Linked DNA regions of Arabidopsis thaliana. The protein of the gene in region 2 purifies or fractionates together with the protein of the main gene of each other region. This does not show direct contact. Each region holds a gene or a part of one and is shown on either strand. Other genes may lie near its edges.

The links.
Region 1: the proteins of AT4G26600 (region 2) and AT4G15770 fractionate together in Arabidopsis thaliana (co-fractionation; one large-scale study listed by BioGRID). This does not show direct contact.
Region 3: the proteins of AT4G26600 (region 2) and FIB2 fractionate together in Arabidopsis thaliana (co-fractionation; one large-scale study listed by BioGRID). This does not show direct contact.
Region 4: the proteins of AT4G26600 (region 2) and AT5G27120 fractionate together in Arabidopsis thaliana (co-fractionation; one large-scale study listed by BioGRID). This does not show direct contact.

What each region holds. Positions count from the first base shown.
Region 1 is NC_003075.7:8,976,138-8,979,486, reverse strand, and holds AT4G15770 (RNA binding protein), read right to left. Parts: upstream 1,593-3,349; 5' UTR 1,428-1,592; coding exon 864-1,427; 3' UTR 543-863; downstream 1-542. Other genes in the region: AT4G15765 (FAD/NAD(P)-binding oxidoreductase family protein), read left to right, coding at 2,276-2,346, 2,449-2,514, 2,674-2,872, 3,126-3,349.
Region 2 is NC_003075.7:13,417,922-13,424,324, reverse strand, and holds AT4G26600 (S-adenosyl-L-methionine-dependent methyltransferases superfamily protein), read right to left. Parts: upstream 4,765-6,403; 5' UTR 4,697-4,764; coding exon 4,157-4,696; intron 4,061-4,156; coding exon 3,997-4,060; intron 3,868-3,996; coding exon 3,728-3,867; intron 3,626-3,727; coding exon 3,542-3,625; intron 3,451-3,541; coding exon 3,376-3,450; intron 3,287-3,375; coding exon 3,215-3,286; intron 3,122-3,214; coding exon 3,048-3,121; intron 2,803-3,047; coding exon 2,750-2,802; intron 2,668-2,749; coding exon 2,558-2,667; intron 2,355-2,557; coding exon 2,286-2,354; intron 2,201-2,285; coding exon 2,126-2,200; intron 1,956-2,125; coding exon 1,690-1,955; coding exon of another isoform or gene 1,686-1,689; exon of another isoform or gene 1,612-1,685; coding exon 1,512-1,611; coding exon of another isoform or gene 1,485-1,511; exon of another isoform or gene 1,398-1,484; coding exon 1,072-1,397; coding exon of another isoform or gene 1,068-1,071; exon of another isoform or gene 968-1,067; coding exon 907-967; 3' UTR 534-906; downstream 1-533. UniProt on the Arabidopsis thaliana protein: Involved in ribosomal large subunit assembly. S-adenosyl-L-methionine-dependent methyltransferase that probably methylates the C(5) position of cytosine 1586 (m5C1586) in mitochondrial 26S rRNA.
Region 3 is NC_003075.7:13,072,093-13,076,971, reverse strand, and holds FIB2 (fibrillarin 2), read right to left. Parts: upstream 2,883-4,879; 5' UTR 2,734-2,882; coding exon 2,715-2,733; intron 2,473-2,714; coding exon 2,132-2,472; intron 2,039-2,131; coding exon 1,943-2,038; intron 1,859-1,942; coding exon 1,781-1,858; intron 1,694-1,780; coding exon 1,517-1,693; intron 1,410-1,516; exon of another isoform or gene 1,337-1,409; intron 1,103-1,336; coding exon 1,034-1,102; intron 950-1,033; coding exon 767-949; 3' UTR 540-766; downstream 1-539. Other genes in the region: DTX35 (detoxifying efflux carrier 35), read left to right, coding at 1-15, 315-396. UniProt on the Arabidopsis thaliana protein: S-adenosyl-L-methionine-dependent methyltransferase that has the ability to methylate both RNAs and proteins. Involved in pre-rRNA processing.
Region 4 is NC_003076.8:9,539,183-9,544,611, forward strand, and holds AT5G27120 (NOP56-like pre RNA processing ribonucleoprotein), read left to right. Parts: upstream 1-1,678; 5' UTR 1,679-1,797; intron 1,798-2,092; 5' UTR 2,093-2,104; coding exon 2,105-2,182; intron 2,183-2,282; coding exon 2,283-2,324; intron 2,325-2,413; coding exon 2,414-2,593; intron 2,594-2,669; coding exon 2,670-2,834; intron 2,835-3,028; coding exon 3,029-3,229; intron 3,230-3,316; coding exon 3,317-3,814; intron 3,815-3,914; coding exon 3,915-4,049; intron 4,050-4,199; coding exon 4,200-4,502; 3' UTR 4,503-4,883; downstream 4,884-5,429. Other genes in the region: AT5G27110 (Tetratricopeptide repeat (TPR)-like superfamily protein), read right to left, coding at 1-1,465. UniProt on the Arabidopsis thaliana protein: Required for 60S ribosomal subunit biogenesis.

The DNA.
Region 1 (3,349 bases), 4.4 Mb from region 2:
CAATCCCCTACTCTTAATGTGGGAAATTTTCAGTGTACAACATATTTATTCAAAGAACACCCTCAATATCTTTCCCAAAAAGTTATGCAATCTGTTTCAGAAAGATTTCAGAACTTAATTGGTTTAAACATCTCTTCTCCAGATTATTTGGCAGCAGTACACAACCTATATGCCCAGTAATAAGTTTTGAAGTTTTAAATCAAAGCAAGCAATCTGTTTCCATACAGAAAACTGATTCATCAGCTTACAATTGTAGCTTCTCGATACTCTTGTTTGAGAACAATTGAGACTTTCATAGATACAATACCATGTTCCACAAAATTTGTGACAGTCACATACCCTTAATACTCAAAGGCCAAAGTTTGAAGCTTGAAAACAATTTGAAGCTTTTGGACTATAAAACCAAAGAAAAATCAGCATAATCAATCTGTCTCAAAAATCAGCATAATCAATCTGTCTCAAAAATCAGCATAATCAATCTGTCTCCAACACATATCTGAATCATTAGGGTTACAGATTTGAAAATTAGCATATGTATGTAAATTTCCAAAGTTTCAAGCTTGATGAAGAATTTGAAGCTTTTAAGTATAAAAATCAAAGCAATATCAGGAAACTCAACCTGTCTCCAATACAAATCTTGATCATCAGGTTACAGATTTGAAAATTCGCATATGAATGTAAATTTTTTAGCTTTTACATACTCAAGAGTCTCACAAAACACCTCAAAAACAGATTTATAAAAATCGAGACTTTCATAGATCCAGAACCAAGTTCCACGAAACTTGTAACAGCTACATACTTTAAAACTCAAAGCAACAAGCAGAATCAAACTAAGACACAACAAAGACAAAACCTTTAAACTTTCAAAGGTCATCTTCACCCCTCAAATACTCTCCAATATCAGCCTGATGAAGCACAACAATACCATTAGGATCCAATTTCCTACAATCCTGTGTACTCTTCGCAGCAATCCCAAACCCTAACGGAACATCAGACATCGAGAACACAACAACACCATCTCCAGGAACAATACTATCAGTAATCCTCCCTAATCCACCTTTCAAGACATGGTTCCCATAAAGAAACGACATCTCCGAAGTGGGTTTAAGCCATACCTTGTGTTTAGCATTCGCCGCCAAGATATTGAGTGACATAATCGTCAGATGGAAACTACCGGCGTGAGTGTATTTCCCGATGCAGGTTCCGAAGGAGACTAGGTTTTTCCTGGAGATGTTTGTGGCTCGCTTCACGAGGGCTTCGCTGACGTAGTAGACTCTGTTTTTCTGGAGGCGGAAGCAGTAGCTGCCGGGTGTAGATTCGGGTCCTTCGTCTGATGGGTTCTCGACGATCTTCTTGAGGTTGTTGCCGACGAATTTGAAGAGCTTCTCGAAGACGACGGTTGTCTCGGTCTCGTCTAAAGGACGCATCTTCGGGGAAGAAAGTGATGAATAATGGAGAAAGAAGAGAAGCTCTCTGTTTCTAAGAGGGATTGTGTTTTTTTAGGGTTTTAGGGATTTAGGACCAAACCTAATGCGGCCGATGAGTTTTGTTATTTCGACTTTGGTCCTTTGTTTTAAAAATATCTATTGTCATTTCAACCTCGAAATTATTATTTTTGTTAAATCCAACCCATGAATAATTCACTTTGAATATTTGGACTTTGGAGGATAACTGAAAGTTATAACAAATTTGATAGTTCATGTAGTTTATTGAAAAGATGTTTAGTTAGAGATTTTTTCATGTGTAAAAATATTATAAGGAAATCATACAATGAATTACTAATATTATAAGGGCAATTGACAAAACAAAAATATATTATTTTAGAAAAAGGTATATATATTTCTAATATAAATAAATACAATTAATTACAAATATTGTATAACGTGTAAGAAAATAATTGTTTTAAATATATATATATACTTCTAAGATTAAGTAAATTATACATTTAATCACTAATACAGTAAAAATATTAAATAAATTATTAAAATTAGTAATTCTAACACAAGAAGGCTTAAATTTTTCTTTTCTTTTTTTTCTCTCTTCAGAATTGGTTTCATATAACGATCTGTGTGATACACAGTTTAATTGATATATGAATCGACAAATACCAATAAAAATCGCTGTGAATGAATATGTATAGATAACGAAAAATACGCGGGTCAAGGTACAACCACGACATGCCATATTGCCATGTGGCTTCAACCCCCACATATAAGTCCACGACATTGCAGGACATAACGATCATAAAATTTGGAGGAAATACAAATATAGAAGAATGGAAGAATTGGACATAGTAATCGTGGGAGGAGGCATTGCTGGTCTTGCAACTTCCCTTGCTCTTCACAGGTTCACTATAATCTCCTCATTTTCTCAATTATAAGGTAATTTAAATTAGAAAACATATACATGAACTATTGACTAACTAAACATACAAATATGATTATAAAGGAAGGGCATAAAGAGCGTTGTGTTGGAGAGATCAGAGTCTGTAAGATCGGAAGGAGCAGCATTTTGGTATTCAGACTAACGGCTGGCTTGCTCTTCAACAACTTGGTGTCGCCGATAAGCTAGCTTCGTCTTAAGTCTCTCCCAATTCATCAGTAAGTATATAAATATTTATATTTTAACTAACCTTATCTAGTTATAATGATTTCCGGTATGGTACTAAAACAGGATAAGAGATGTTTTGATCGAGAAAGGTATTAAACGAAGAGAATCGGTTGGACCAGCATCCTATGGAGAAGTAAGAGGTGTACTAAGGAACGACTTGGTTCGAGCTTTGGCTCATGCTCTTCCTCTTGGCACTCTCCGGCTTGGTTGCCATATTTTGTCGGTTAAGCTCGACGAAACAAAATCGTTTCCGATTGTGCACGTTAAAAACGGGAGAAGCTATCAAAGCAAAGGCACGTTTTAACAACAGTAGATATATTTATTGATCAATTATTGAGGTGATGCCGTAGTGGAATTTTTTTAGTATATACTTTATATTAGCCGACAGTGACATTTATGGGTCGTGATCGGTTTTAATGGTTTGTGTTTTGTTTGTTTTTCACTGAAAGCAACATGTTTAGCATGAAATGCATGGGTCTTATATATTTTGATAATATACTTTTCTTTTAATTTAGGTTTTGATTGGCTGCGATGGGTCAAATTCTGTAGTCTCTAGATTTCTAGGATTAAACCCGACTAAAGACCTCGGTTCGCGGGCCATCAGAGGGTTCACAAATTACCCGGACGACCATGGATTCCGACAAGAGTTTATAAGAATCAAGATGGACAACGTCGTAAGCGGACGACTTCCTATAACTCACAAACTCGTCTTTTGGTTTGTTGTTTTGCGAAATTGTCC
Region 2 (6,403 bases):
TATATTTTTTGATTTCCTATTTTCAATGGTTTATTGAGATTTTGTTATTTATCCATACCATAAGTCCACAAAATTACTTACCATTTTGGTTAGCAAGAAATTAAAATGAACTCATTTGCTTTTAAAAGCTGTATCTTTTGGGTCCTGCAAAGGAATCTCTTTTCTATAATCTTGGATATCCAAATATAAAGTGAATACAGCAATTATACGATGTTATATGTGATGCATGTGAGTTTGTGTATACAAGGCTACAAGCACTAGCAGTTATAATATGGGCTTATAATCTAAAAATAGAAACAAGAAGATTAGTGTGAGAGAAGTAAATGTAAGGTCCCCAACGGAGGAGAATCTGATAAAGATGGATGAAGAAGAGTTGAATTGGATTGTCATGTTTCTCCAACACTCAAGTCCCACTTCAGAAAACCTTCACATCTCTCCCTAACAATGACCAGCTCACTCCCAATTCCCTTATTTTTTCGTCAAATCAATACTATGAGAAATTCTATCCTTATGTGGTGGTATGGACCCAACCCTCCAAGATTTATGTATTTTATTAAATAATTGCTAGGAGCAGAAAAATGAATAGCCTTTCAAACACACTTGTGAGAGAAAGTAGGGACTCGTTTTTGTTTTCAATAAATTTTACAACTCCAATTGAAAACGGAAAATAGAAACAGCCTCTCACAAAAATCAAGTTATGTGATTGATACAAAACTTTTGGACATGTAACAGCTAATCCATGTGGGTGTCACCCTTTCTTTACGCAGTAAATTAATCAAAACTAGAAAGCCATTGTATAGATACCTTGGCCTCAGCCAATGAAGCCTCTTTTCTTGTGTCCTTCGCCATGGCCAGAACACCGAAATATTCTACTCTTCAAGATGCATCACGATCTCAAACCTATTCTTATCCCCTGTGCTTTGGCGTCTCCTTAGCATTCTCTCTCATGGTTTTTCTTTTTTCTTCCCTGCAACATATTCAACCATTTATGGGTAAATGGGTGTATGATACAACAATGTACATAAGAAGGTTTTCTCTTTTGTCTGTCAAGGAAACACTTAGTTTTTTTACCTAGCTTGAGCAATCTCATTCTTCCATTGTGATCTCTTCTTCTTTTGCTTCCTGGGTTCTTCCACATTACCACTTTCGGTTTTTGTGTTTTTATTCCTTTTGCCTTTGTGAATTTCCTTTGACCTTGGATTTTTTCGTTTGTTCGTGTCTTCTTTAGTGTTACTCTCTCTCTTGGGTTGCCCACTGGCAACAGGTGGCTTCTCCAACTCCTCAATGGCCTCAGCTTTCTCATCATCATCATCACTAGACGACACCTGAGCTTGCTCCATTGTTACAGCTGGCTCATCATTTCCTGAAGGCTGCATTGCATTGCTCATCTTCTTCAGCTGCAGAACAAAGAAAGGAAAAAGTAAATACCTCGTTGGTTTAATCACTATTCATATTTTATAAAACATCTGTTTTGCAGGGAAAAGCTATTCATAGGTTAACCAAGTGTATACCTTTGCAACAAAGAATCCATCCATGTTGTGCACGTGAGGATAGAAACGTCTAGTCTTCTCTAAAGAAGGGTGGAACCGGTGTTCTCTAAAACTGCTAAATCTGAAGATATGCAGCAAAACATTTGTGTTCAGATGACGAATCATGAAATTTTTCAATGCAGATGAAAATGTATATTACCCTGGTCGGCCAAAATCAAGTCCACATGGAACGAGTTTAACATCCCTGTTTTTCAGAGCATAATCGATGACAGCTTCGTTCTGCATAATTTGTTGTACAAATAGAACTAGTGAGAAAACATGAAGATGCCAGGAAAAAAAAATAGTGGAACAGAAAAAGTATGGTTCACCAACCTCGGGTATCATAACTGAACATGTTGAGTAAACAATATATCCACCGGTTTTGGAATTGGCGTCTACCAAATCAATCGCACCAAGTATAAGTTGCTATGCGCAAGAAAAGAAGAGAGTATGGTTAGCATTATATACCAAATGCATCCTTCTTTATATACTCACAGTAAGAGGGTATAAACGGCGTTTATGCCATTTTCATGTTTAAATATTTGTCTTGGATGTAAAGAATGTTTTAGTTGATATTGTTTAAGGCAACAACATACCTTTTGCAAATGGGCAAATTTCTTTATGTCATCAGCACTTTTGGAAGTTTTAACTGATTCGTCTTTTGATATAACCTGCATTGTGTAGAAGTGACATTAAACTATGAACAGAGAAATTCACTTAAAAGACTATAAGAGTGTATGGTCCAAACTTTCTTACTCCAGTTCCACTGCAGGGAGCATCCAGCAATACTCTATCAACCGAGCTCTGACCTAAAACTTTGGTTAGCTGAAAGGCAAAGAAGATGAGATAAATAAAAAATGCAAGGGAATAATAGAGAAGCTGTCTTTAAAACTTTGTTATTTGGTGCAATTACAGTCTTGCCAGTAATTTTTCAATTTGGTTGAGCTGATGGTTTACAACCAGTTTGCAATATTTAACATCCTCAAGCATGTACCGTCAACAGAAGAATAAAGGTTCAAGAAACTAACCTCTCGTCCGTCATAGTTACAAACTATGGTATTTGTCACTCCCATGCGATGTAGATTGGCAGAAAGTGACTTAAGCCTAGGTACTTTCATCTCGTTTGCATATATTATGCCTGGTTATATAAACATTATAACATTAGATATAACTGACTAAAATTATGGGGCTGGAGGAATAAGGAACCAATATATGTATACCTGTATTTTTCATTAGTGCAGCAACATATGTTGTTTTACCACCAGGGGCAGCACTGCAGTGGTATAAGAACTTGTTACAGATATCACAATATACTAGTTGCATATGTCTCACATCACGGGACAATCAAATTGGCTTTTCCGTTTTGACAGCACTTATCATCACAACAATCATAACAAATGATACATATCACAAGCTACACTTGAATATCAGATTAAGGTACTGCTTGGTCATCATATATATATATATATATTTATCTGAGACACAAATATAGTGCATTTATGTAAGATAATGACTTACGCCATGTCCACAACTCGTTCTTTTTCTCGAGGAGCAAGGGCCATCACTGGCAAGAACGAACTAGCACTTTGCAACTGAAAATGTACCAAGAACATACTTAAGTAAACAATAAGAAAACCCATAAAGTGTGAGCCGAAAAGTACAAAAAAAATCAGAAAATCAAGTACCATATAGAATCCTGCCAAATATTCAGGAGTTGCACCAATCGGAACTTGTGAATCATAAACGATAAGTCCAACCTACAAATATTATGCCAGGATCAACTAAAGATGGTCCACAAAAATGTTTTCGCAAATAAAATGGAAGACAATCTGCAAATACTACTTACTTTTGACCACTTGCTTAATGGGTCTAGATTAACTCCTCTGTTCAAAAGTATATCAGCCAGATCCCGTCTTCGAGTCTTAACCAAAACAAACATCAGCATTAATTGAAATATCACAACAGCTGAGAAATACTTTGTTTTAGACACTCCAATGCACAACCAAGTTCACCTTAAGAGTGTTAGTACGTATAGATGTAGGTCTTTTCTTTTCAAAAGCTTCGATTAGTTCCATGAGTTCAACAACAGGAAACATCTGCCAGAAGATTACAACTAAAGAGTATAAGTAACAGAATTCCTACACATAACTCTAGATCAAAGCAAGCATAAAGAGTAAAGTCAGAGACTAGGGAATAACCTCAATTAAAGTTCCAATAAGAAACTCATTATAGCCGTAGTAAGAACTAAGATCAGCTTTAAGCTGTCCAACATAATCATTCCTCTCGTGCTTGTCTCCTTTTGGCTTCAAGTCCTTAAAATTCGACAGGATTCTAACAACTGAAACACAAATTAGTACCATTAAACTAAGAACCGAGAGGATGATTCCTTAGGAGATTTAAAACAATCATAATAATAACATTACACCAGAATTCTTAAAAAGGAATAAAATTTGAAAATGTTACTCACTCTCTCTTATCCTCATTTGCAAGCTAGGAAGATCTGGCGGCCGACGTGCCTCTTCTTCAAGTTCCTAAACAATGTAGAGTAATAGAAAAGATTAGCTAACAAATAGCTCCAGAGATCCAGAATATGAACAAATCCACAATTAAGTAAAGGAAAATGTAACCTTTTGGGTTGGTAGCTGAAACTCATCAGGTTTCTCCTTAATGTTCATCTTGAATTCATCGTCTGCATCTTGTACCTCCTTTTTACGTTTTCTATCAATAGCTCTAGATTTCCTCTCGAGTTTGGATCCACCAGAGTCAGAATCCAAATCAGAACCCATGGTTACCTCCTCATTATCGCTACCATCGAGAAAGTCTTCAGCTAAGGGTTCTGCATCCTCATCATCATCATCATCATCATCATCATCATCATCATCATCATCACTATCATTGTTTCCTTCTTCATCACCATCAGAGAACAAATCAGAACCTGATTCAGACCCTTCATCAGACTGTTCATTCTCTTCTTCTTCTTCTTCCTCGTCTGTGGAAACTTCAGGCTTTTTGAGGGGCTTCTTCTCCGAAATACATTTCCTCTGCTTCTTCAATGGAGGCTTCTGGGTTTTAGCCGCCTTCTTCAGCGGAGACGCCTTAGTCTGCTTATTCAGTGGCGGAGTCTGTGAATTGGAACCCTTCTTCTTGTTACGCGTAAGAGCAGCCATGGATACGGTTTTTACAACTTAGGGTTTATCGCCGTGAGGGTTTAGCAGAATTGCAGAGGTAGGAGAAGCAAGGTCGAAGAATCTAGTAAAGATGGAGGATGAGCAAAGTTGCTTAATGGGCTTGATTGATACTAACTAATGGGCCTGACTAATACTAACTAATGGGCTGTAGTCGAACTTATTTTTTGTCAGCCTAATAAATTATCGAGCCACTGAATTCATAAAACCTATAAAAACATAATTCAATAAGTTATTTGATGTATGCGTTTAGGGGTTTCAAAATGGGTAATCCAACTCAACTCTTAATCAAATAAGTTTAGATGTTAAATGAGTTGGGTCAACCCATAACTCATTTAATTTGATGGATTGAATTGTTAAATGGGTTAACCCATTTAAATAATAATTTAATTAATTATTATTATAAAACAATAATAAATAATTAATATTATTAATTCATTATCATCAAACTTAAAATATTTACGGATTCCACTTTTTACGGGTTTACGTTTTTGGCGGAAAAATCACAGGTTTATGTTTTTGGCGAGAAAATTATAGGTTTACGTTTTTGGCAGGAAAATTACGGGTTTATGTTTTTGGTGGGAAAATTACGGGTTTACATTTTTGACAGGAAAATCTCGGGTTTACGTTTTTGGCGGGAAAATCACGGGTTAACGTTTTTGGCGGGAAAATTACGAGTTTACGTTTTTGGCGGGAAAATTACGGATTTACGTTTTTGGCGGGAAAATTATGAGTTTACGTTTTGGCGGGAAAATAACGGATTTACGTTTTTGGCGGGAAAATCACGGGTTTACGTTTTTGGCGGGAAATTACGAGTTTACGTTTTTGGCGGGAAAATTACGGATTTGCGTTTTTGGCTGGAAAATTACGAGTTTACGTTTTTGGCGGGAAAATTATGGATTTACGTTTTTGGCGGGAAAATCACGGGTTTATCTTTTTAGTGAAAAATTACGAGTTTACTTTTTATCAATTTCATCGCTTGTATATTTAAGAAATTTGGAAAAATATTAATTTTATTAAATTGGTTTAAATGTGTTGGTTAAACTTAAATTGGCATTGGTTTAGAAATTTTAGTTGGTTTAATTCAATTTTACAAAACTTGATGGGTTAATTGGGTAAACCATTGAAATCATTAACCATTACAACCCAACTCATTTTACTCATCAAACCAATTGACTCATCAACTCATTTGACCCATTAACTCATTTGAGTCAAAATTTTCAACTCATTAGAGTTCATGGGTTGAATTGAGTTGAGTTAACCCATGAATTTTAACCCATTTTGACATCTCTACCTGCGTTACATGCTCAGCCCATGCATGATTGAAGCTAGTGATGTTGATAACAAAAACTGAAATGAATCACGTAATTTTCTAAAATCAGTTCTAAACGATTCTGTTTCTTCTTTAAGAATGAAAACACGAATTTATTTTTGGTGAATTTTAATTCCAACTACCAAAAATAATTTGATTGATTGGTTGAAATTTCTTGTAAAATTGTGTTAGAATTTGAAATATTATCATTTGCAGGATATATATGTAGTTTGGCTGTCAAAAAAAAATGTATTATGTTTTTGGTGAAGTTGCAAGTTATTTATAACACATAGAACCTAGTCATAGACGTTGACATGAAACAGATTGAATAAGACAGTGTGTGTCTTAGAAACAGAAACTTGAATAAAAGTGGAAAT
Region 3 (4,879 bases), 350 kb from region 2:
CAAGGATATACTTGCGTGATTGATGTTTTTTTTTTGTTAAGCTTAGTAGTGACTTTTTGTTTGTCTTTCATTGGTTTGGGCACCAAATTGTTCTATTTAGAGTTTTAGATTGTAGGAAACTGTTCCATCAGTTATGTTTTGTTACTTACTTCCAAAAGGAAAAATTGCATTACAAATGTTAGTTACTTTTCCTCATGTAACCCAAATGTATCAAAAAAATTTGTAACCCAAATAAAATTCCAGATGCTTGAGAATAAGCCATTCTAGTTTTTTCATCCTGCTATATATGTTGTCAATGATATTTAATAAAGAAGGTCAGGATGGCCGAGTGGTCTAAGGCGCCAGACTCAAGTTCTGGTCTTCGTAAGAGGGCGTGGGTTCAAACCCCACTTCTGACATTAGTTTTTTGTTACAGTTTCTGCGTGAGCTTTTTGTATTTACATTTCCTTGGCTTGTGTCCTAAAAATGCAACGTGTCTTCAAACTTTGTTTTGTTTGTGTGCAAATTCTTGCGGCGTTTTACATTTGCATTACGAGGTGTCATTATTTAAAGAAATCAACCTCAGTCGACAAAATTCTATTATAATTGTTCCATATATCAAAAACTTGTCGAAAAAGTTAGCGCTGGAAGCCAAGTGAACATAACCAGGGTTCAAAATGATTACAAAGCTCAAAATTTAAGATAAACCCTAAAACCATACAGATTCTAAAGAGACCGAGACAAAGCAAAATCTGAGGTACTGGGAAGAGCGTAGAGTAGAAAACTTCTAAGCAGCAGTAGCAGCCTTTGGCTTCTTAGGCATACGGTAGCCACCAACGACACATGCATGGTCACGCTCAAATGGCTCAAGCGTCACTTGCTCAGCTGGTTTGAATTGCTCCTGTTGAAGCTTCTTCACTTCAGTCTGGAACACAGCTTCTGCTGGAACGGTGGAGTCGATACAGTTTGCCTGCAAAAATGAGACAATACATGTTCACTAATCTTTCTCTCTTGAGAGATCATGGATTAAATAAATGTTTCGATTGCTACCCACCTTTATTGAGATCACAAAGTGTCCTCCTGACTTGAGGAAGTATGATGCATTCAAAGCCAAGATCCTAGCCTGCACGGTTTTAAATGGCACAGAAAATTTCATAAACAAAACAGTATAAAGTATACTAGAAGCAACCCACAAGCTGAATGGCATTTAGAAAACAAGTAGGTTTAACATCAGGAGAACCAAAACCGAGCAATAATAGACATTTAAATTTAGTATTGTTCTTAAAAACGAAATTGTAAAACAAGTACATAGTAAAATAAGATTAAGCTTAACAAAAACAAAAACAAGAATTTTCAGTACATCAGAAACTTGGAGATTGCATCACCCATAATGATCTGAAGGGGAATCCAAGTAAGATCATCATTTGCAATTATCAAAACACCATTTTAAAGCAAAGGACACATATAATGGTATTGGGTCAAGCTTTTTGAGGCAAATATTTAGACATTCATTGTGAGTTAAACAAAAGAAGCAAACCTGATCTGGCTGAGCAACATCAGAGAAGATAACATCAACCATGCCTACAAGCATTCTGTATTTAGCTGGGTGTCTAGCATCCTCGATGATTGGAATAACATTGGTTCTCTTCTTTGCCATGTTCACCAAATCTCTACCACTTCTATGAGAAAACTCAACCGCGTACACACACCCCTCCTATCAGATCACAAAGGCAATATATAAGAAACTCCAATACACGTCTAAAACCTGATAATCACAACATAAAGGACGGGTTCTGCTTACAGGGCCAACAAGATCAGACACATGAGAGACTGTGGTTCCAGAAGCAGCACCAAGGTATAGAACTTTAGCACCAGGTTTCTACATTGAAACGGGAACAACAATCAATATATGAACCAAGTCTCGCAAACAACAACAATAAGATTCACACAAGCTGATGCTTACAATCCAGATGTTATCAACACCACCAAGAATAGCAGCAGCCAACTTCGAACGGAAAGGATTCCAAACTCTGTATTCAGTCTTGGTTCCATCTTCGTTCTGCAGATTCAATCACAAGAACCATTAAAAACAAATTCATCAAAAGGAGTGCAAATACAAACCATCAATCAATTAATCAATCCTCTATAATACCTGAACAGAGATTCTCTTCTCGTTGTAGACAGCTTCACCAGGAACCAAATTCTTGGTAACAAGGGCATCTTCTTTACCCTTTGCAATGAACACTCCTGCGTGTCTGTGAGGTTCCACAATCACTTTGCTTCCTCCTTTCATGCCTCCACGGCCAGCTGGTCCTCTGCCGCCGCGAGCACCACCACGTGGTGGTCCTCTTCCTCTGCCGCGACCACCACGGTCGCTGAAACCTCTTCCTCCTCCTCTACCACCGCCACCTCGACCACCACTGAATCCACCGTCACCTCTACCACCACTGTATCCACCACGCCCTCTTCCACCACTGAACCCACCACCACTTCCTGAACACAAAAGACCATTCATTAGAGACTCCATGTTTAACATAAAACCCAACCATCAACTCTATATCCGATAGAACTAACGCAGACCCAATACAGTTCTAAGCAAAAAAGAACAAAGTTGACAATCAGTTCAGCTAAAGACATAAAGTTTTAAAGACTAAACGAGCTAAGAGTGTCACTCGCCATTGTTAATCTGATAAGCAAGCAATGAAGAAAAGAGAAGAGGCGGCTAGGGTTCTTACCAGTTAGAGGAGGTCTCATCTTTGCGTTAAGACTCTAAAGAATGCGAAAATCAAGGAGAAAAGCTTTTGATGAGAGAGAGAATGGCGATGGCGATGAAGCTGCGCTCGCAAGTGTTTTTATACATGTGTTTCAAGCTAGGGTTTTAACAGGGTTTTAATTTAACTCGCCTTATTTATTATTATTTACGTTTTAATCCTTATATTATGTATACATATCTTTTTCTGCTGTCAACTATTTAGAATTAACATTTTGCCCCTCGTAGTTAAAGCTTTATGAAATTCTATCATCACACACACTAACGTGTTACAGCAACAACAAAATTGTGTGTAAATATATTAATCGTCTTACCATTGTAAATTGTAATACACAACATTTAATCGTTACCATCATTTCTCTACACATAAGAAAACAAATACCCAAAAACCAGAAAATTCTAGTTCCAGAGCGAACATGTCTCTTACAATGAAACTGGGCTGCTAAATATGTGGGCTTTAGTTATAGTGGTGTGGGCCATAATAATTTTCATAAATAGTTTATGGTAAAAGCCCACATAATTAGTTTATACGAGGTCCACTCTAACATTACAAGTTCTCATAAATAATTTTCTTCTGTAGTCTGTTTATACAAGGTCCAATATAACATACAAAAATCACTTATGATAAAAACTTATTTATAAATATTGATTTTAAAGCAAATTTTAAACTTTATTATACTCAAACCTATCTTTACTTTAGTCTACCGAAGTGGAGACTCATGTTAACTCGAAAATACAAAATGATTAGTGAGTTAACATGTTCACATACAATGAAAAGGAAATCATATGTAGACACAGTGTTAAAACACTAATTCTAGATAAACATATCACAATCAATGAATGAGTTAGTGAGATGAGATTATTAGTGAATATGTTACACACGGAATGGATAAATTAGAATGAAAGAAATAAATGTGAGAGAATGGAGAGGGAAGTGTGCATGTGGGATGTTGGGGAAAATAGGTCCCATTACCCATCCTTTTTTCTTTTTGAGTCTCTCCCTACCAATCATTATAACTTTTCTCAACTTATACATTCTGAACTATTTATTTCTATTTGTCAAATTAATGGTTATGCTTTAATACATTTATATCCCAATTGGCATATACATGTTGTAGAGTAGCTAGCTATGTCATAGGCTTGAAAATGTTTTTGTTTATAGGAATGAAGATTCCCATTGATTATTCCACTTATTTGGCACTTTTTATCATGTTCAATGTCTACTAGATAAGCATGTGGCTACTAGTGGATGGCCACCTTTGGGGGTAAAATTTTGTTAGTAATATACCATTTCTAGTTATATTTTTAATATGTATACCTATGGACATATCCATTTTGTATCTATCCACACGTTGCAAGACTTACATTAGTTACATAATTCGAATATATAATAATTTCGATCTGTAGAGGTGTGGAAAAGTGAAGCCTTGTTTAGTTGACTTGTTGATTAACTGAATTAGATATCTAAGCTCGTATATATGATTTCATTATGTTATAACGCATAGTTGATTAAACTTACTAGATTACTATCAATAACTGATTTCCGTTTTAAACTTAGGTTTACAATAGATCTATATACGTAGATGAAATTTTCGAGCATAGTAAGAAGAATTTACAATCTAAGTTTAAAGTCATACATTGTTTGATCTATATCTCTATCTATAATATATAAAATTATATTAAAAAGGAGAAAATGTGCTGAAAAGTTTGTATGATGAAAATGAATAAATCATTGTTTTAAATTGAAGTTAAATTTACGTAAATGTGTGCCGCTATTCCACATAATTGTAAAAGGCAATCTTAAAAAGTAATTTTCAAAGTCAAGGTAAAAGAGTAGATATTTAATTTATAGTTCGTCAAGTAAAGATAAATCCTCCTATTTTAGTAGTCACATGTTTTATTGCTAGGGCTGCTGCTTTATTTGTCATATTACTTGCGATCGAGACAATAGAGTAGAGACGACGATGTATGTCCACCAAAACAAATCGATTTTCATGAAATATTATCAACTATTCTTTATTATTTTTTTGGGTATGAATGTTAAGTAACTATTATTTATTTTTTCAAACCAGATCCTAACAATCTACATAAAGAGCTAAACCACCATGTGCATAATGAGCTAACACACTT
Region 4 (5,429 bases), on a different chromosome or scaffold from region 2:
GAGATCCATACGCAGAGATCATTACCGTCCATGATACAACATCCTTCTTTGGTATACTGTTGAAAATCCTAAAAGCCTCTTTTTCATTGCCGCATTTAGAATACATGTCAAGAAGCGCACTCAAAAGCAACTCGTCTGTTTCGAGCCTGCTCTCACTAATGGACAAATGAATCTGTTTGCCTTTCTCTAACGCAGCCAGTTGCGAACAAGCAGGTAAAACACTTGTGAAAGTTACCACGTCTGGCTTCACTCCAACACTCACCATTTGGTCATACACTTCAACAGCCTTAAACCAATTACCTACACTGATATAACTAGAAATCATGACATTCCATGACTCAGCAACGTCCTTCTGTGTCTTTGAAAAGACGGTTTCAGCCAAATTTGCTTCACCACACTTGAAGTATAGATCAATCAAGGAACAGTTCACATAGATATCTGCATTTACAACGCTTCTAATCACATAACCGTGTATAAATTTTCCATGTAGGAGATTCCGTGAGCGAGAGCAAGCCATCAAAATGCTGGTCAAGGTTGTCTGACTCGGTCGAGTTCCTTCTATGATCATTCTATTCAAAATCTCAACACATGACTTACTGTCTCCTTTAGCGACATAACCTTTGATCATAGAATTCCAAGCAACCAAACTCTTTCTAGGCATTTTCTGAAAAACCTCCCTAGCCACCTCCAAGCAGTCACATTTCCCATACATATCAACAAGGGCAGAGTTTACATACTCATCTAACTCAAACCCTTTCTTCACACATTTTCTATGTATCTCCTTCCCTCTCTCCAACCACAACAGCCTTGAACACGCCGATATAGCCACCGTCAACGAAACTGAATTTGGTTCAAAGCCAGAACTTTCCATTCTTCCAAACAACTCCAAAGCCTTCTCTGCCTCTCCACTTTGATAAAAACACGAAATAACCGTGTTCCAAGATGCTACATCTCTCTCAGGCATTTCATCGAACACTTGTAGTGAATTCTCAAACAAGTTAAACTTTGCATACATACCAACCAAAGAACTCGCCACAACCACATCACAAACATACCCACTCTTCACCACAAGAGTATGAATCATCCTACCAAGAAACTCTCTACCCAACGCACCATAAGCCTTAATCACATTCGGAAAAGTAAACGAATCAGGGACACAAATTGAGCAATTCAACAACCTCTTGAAAACCTCAAGAGTGTCATGAAACATTGAGTTCTTTGAATAACCAGACATTAAAGAGTTCCATATGTAAACATCCGATCGTATATCGAAGTTCTCGAAGACGTGTCTCGCTGAGCAATGGTCTTTACAAGTAAAGTAGACATTGATGAGACTTTTGCATAAAACTACGTCTCTTCGTAACCCCAACGTGAGTATTCTCTGATGCACAAGCTTGATTCTTCTTAGAGACTTGGTGCTATTGGTACACTCTCGCAATAAAGACAACAACTTTGAAGATTCCATTTCAAGTTCACATTTTTTTTTGTCGTGAGAGATTGAAATGTGATCAGTCGCTGCTTTAGCTAAATTATAAAGGAAAGACATGATTCAAACTACGACGTCGTTTATACTAATGGGCCAAACTTAATTAGGCCCAAAATGATTTATTTTTCTAAATTAGCGATGCGTTTTAAAACCCTAGGTTACAAAAACGCGCCGTTAGCAATAAAAACGCAGCGTTTTGAGAATCTCTGAACCTTCTTCAACAACTATAAAAACCATCTTAAACCCTAGCAGAATCGCGGCTCCTGATTTTAGCTCTCTCTAAAGCTGTAGTTGTGCGTTAACCCTCTAAGGTACTGAATCTCTCTCGCCCTCTCTTTCTTCGTTGTTATGGCAAATAAGCTTCCAAAATTCTAAGACTTTGACAAAGTATAGTTCTGTTCTTTGTCGGATTTTCAAGAATTTGAACAGAGTATCTGCCTTAACTATTATTCTGATTTGTAAACTTCGAAACAGGGAAAAAGTTTTACCTTGAATATTGTTTCGTACTAGCTTAATGGCTTTAGCTCGTAAAACACTAACTTGCAAGTTTGGTGACTTTGAGTTGATTCAAGGGTTTCTCTTAATCTTGTTTTTTCTTCTTTTCAGGAGCTTGTAAAAATGCTAATACTGTTTGAGACGCCAGGTGGTTTTGCCATCTTCAAAGTATTAAACGAAGGAAAGCTCTCTAATGTTGAGGTTACTAACTAAATCATTCTCCTTTGTTCATTTATCTTAACCTTGTTTCTGTGTGTGGTTTGGTTTTTTAATTCTAAGTATGTCAAATTTGTGATTGTAGGATTTGGGTAATGAGTTCTCGACCGCAAAGTTAGCCCGAAAGGTGATTTATTTTGTTCTAGACATAGTTCAAATTTTGTATCTGGCTAATAATATTTGTTTCTCATAGCAATTTTTGGTGTGTTGTTACAGATGGTGAAGCTAGTAGCTTTTGACAAGTTTGACAACACAGCTGAAGCTCTTGAAGCAGTGGCTAAATTGCTTGAGGGAACTCCAAGCAAGGGTCTACGCAAGTTTTTGAAAGCTAACTGTGTTGGTGAAACATTAGCTGTTGCTGATTCTAAGCTTGGAAATATCATCAAGGAGAAACTGGTGTGTATTTTGTTCCGATACGCTCTTTTATTTCTGAGTAAGGGTTGTTTCTTACGGTTTTGCTTCACTCGTGTAGAAAATAGTCTGTGTTCACAACAATGCTGTTATGGAGCTGTTAAGAGGTATCAGAAGCCAGCTAACTGAACTTATATCTGGATTGGGTGATCAAGATCTAGGTCCAATGAGCTTGGGGTTGTCTCACAGCCTTGCCAGATATAAACTAAAGTTCAGTTCCGACAAGGTAGTCATTTGATTTGTATTGGTTTTTGGTTCTCTGAATTATTTGTTGAGTTAGCCAACTTTTGATAAATTATGGAACTTTTGGTATCCCTTTTTTTACTCTTCCAACATTAGGTCTGAATTGCAATTGAGTTTGTCTATATATCCTGTGTTTGTTTGACCCTTATGTTACTTCACCTTGTACTTGTATGTTAGGTGGATACCATGATAATCCAAGCTATTGGTCTGCTTGATGATCTTGACAAAGAGCTTAACACTTACGCTATGAGGGTTCGTGAATGGTTTGGTTGGCATTTTCCTGAGCTTGCTAAGATCGTACAGGACAATATCTTATATGCCAAGGCTGTTAAACTAATGGGGAATCGGATTAATGCTGCAAAGCTAGACTTCTCTGAGGTAAAGGCCTGTTTGAGTATTTGACTTCCTTGTGCTTAACACTAGTTTTTTTTTTTTTGAAACATTGTTTCTGTGTCCTCCTCTCAGATATTGGCTGATGAAATTGAAGCAGAACTGAAAGAGGCTGCTGTGATATCTATGGGAACTGAAGTCAGTGACCTTGATTTATTGCACATCCGAGAACTCTGTGACCAGGTTCTTTCTCTTGCCGAGTACAGAGCTCAGCTTTATGACTACTTGAAGAGCAGAATGAACACAATTGCACCAAATCTAACTGCCCTTGTCGGGGAGCTAGTCGGTGCTCGCTTAATATCTCACGGTGGTAGTTTGTTGAACCTCGCAAAGCAACCTGGAAGCACGGTTCAGATTCTTGGAGCTGAAAAAGCCTTATTTAGAGCCCTTAAGACCAAACACGCTACTCCAAAGTATGGTTTAATTTTCCATGCATCTGTTGTTGGCCAAGCTGCACCGAAGAACAAGGGTAAAATTTCACGGTCACTAGCTGCAAAATCTGTTCTTGCTATCCGTTGTGATGCTCTTGGTGACTCCCAAGACAACACTATGGGAGTTGAAAACCGTTTAAAGGTATCCTTCAATTTTTTTTTTTCCGATCTTCCTCTCGATCTGATCTAAAAATACTCTACCTTGATTGATGTTTACCATGCGGGCTATTTTCTTCTGACAGCTTGAAGCACGGTTGAGAACTCTCGAAGGAAAAGATTTAGGACGTCTATCTGGCTCAGCTAAAGGCAAACCAAAGATTGAAGTATATGACAAAGATAAAAAGAAAGGATCCGGAGGTCTGATCACTCCTGCTAAGGTCAGATTATTCCTCTGCTAGTTTGTTTCTTCAACTTTCTTTTGTAATTATGAATTCTGGATTTGTGCAATTGTGTTTTGGATATATTACCTGTAATGTTGCTTAAAGGATTAAGCTGTTTGTTGTTGTTGTTGTTGTTGTATTCTGCAGACATACAACACTGCTGCAGACTCTCTTCTTCAAACTCCCACAGTGGATTCAGAGAACGGTGTGAAAGAGAAGAAAGACAAAAAGAAGAAGAAGAAGGCTGATGATGAGGAAGAAGCCAAAACTGAGGAGCCCTCAAAGAAGAAATCGAATAAGAAGAAGACAGAAGCAGAACCTGAAACCGCCGAAGAGCCTGCAAAGAAGGAGAAGAAGAAGAAGAGAAAACACGAGGAAGAGGAAACTGAAATGCCTGCTAAGAAGAAGGAAAAGAGTGAGAAGAAGAAGAAGAAGAAAACTGAGGTCTGAAGAGACCTTTAATATTTTTGCGTGGTCTAGTTTACTTTGTTATCAGAAACAAAGAAAATCTTTTGTGGCGTTAGGTGTTAAGTAAGGTTTTTGTTTTGTTTGAAACTTAAAAAAAAGAACTACTCTTCGTTTTGTAAGGTTATAATATGTTTGGTTTAGTCCTTATCCCAGAAACTTGCATTTTGCCAAACGAGTCAAGACCTTACCGTTAAATCCTTCTAATCTTAGTATAACGTAATTACTCATAGTTGATTAGTTCATAAATTTGTAAAGATCAGTCCGAAGAGTCGACATTTTTCATCAAGTGTATCATTGACATTTTAAAAAACCTTGTACAAAATGAATATTTGTGAGTCTAAAAAGTACCTTAATAGTCAATTGGAAATGGATTGGGTTGAGCATAAGGCAAATCATACCAGACCTTAGAAATTTCAAAAGATAAATAAAATCTAGAGTCTACCTACTTTGTGTGTGTATATATTTTTATTGTGCTATAAATTTTGTGATGAATATGAATCAAAATTCTTTCTGAATATTTCGTGATAATGGTTCCGTCAATATCAAAATTTACTACTGAACATATATGTTTTAAAATATTTAACTGGATTTTAATTCATAAAGTTTTTTTTATTTTTAATTAAATTTAGTTGCCGTGGAAAAAGTTTAATCTATAGTGTTTTATGTAATCATTGTAGGTAATGTTCAAAAAATCTGCCTAGACACCTATCGAACTGGATTTTAATTTATAAAGTCTTTTTATTTGTAAGTAAACTAGTAGGCAGCCCGTGCCTTGCACGCAAAACAACAATACCAATAATATATTTCGTGTCTTTGAAATTTGCAACAATTACACAAATGACGAATATCACAACCTCACAAAATACAATGTGTATCACACATTGCTCTATAACTCTCAATAAAAGTCCT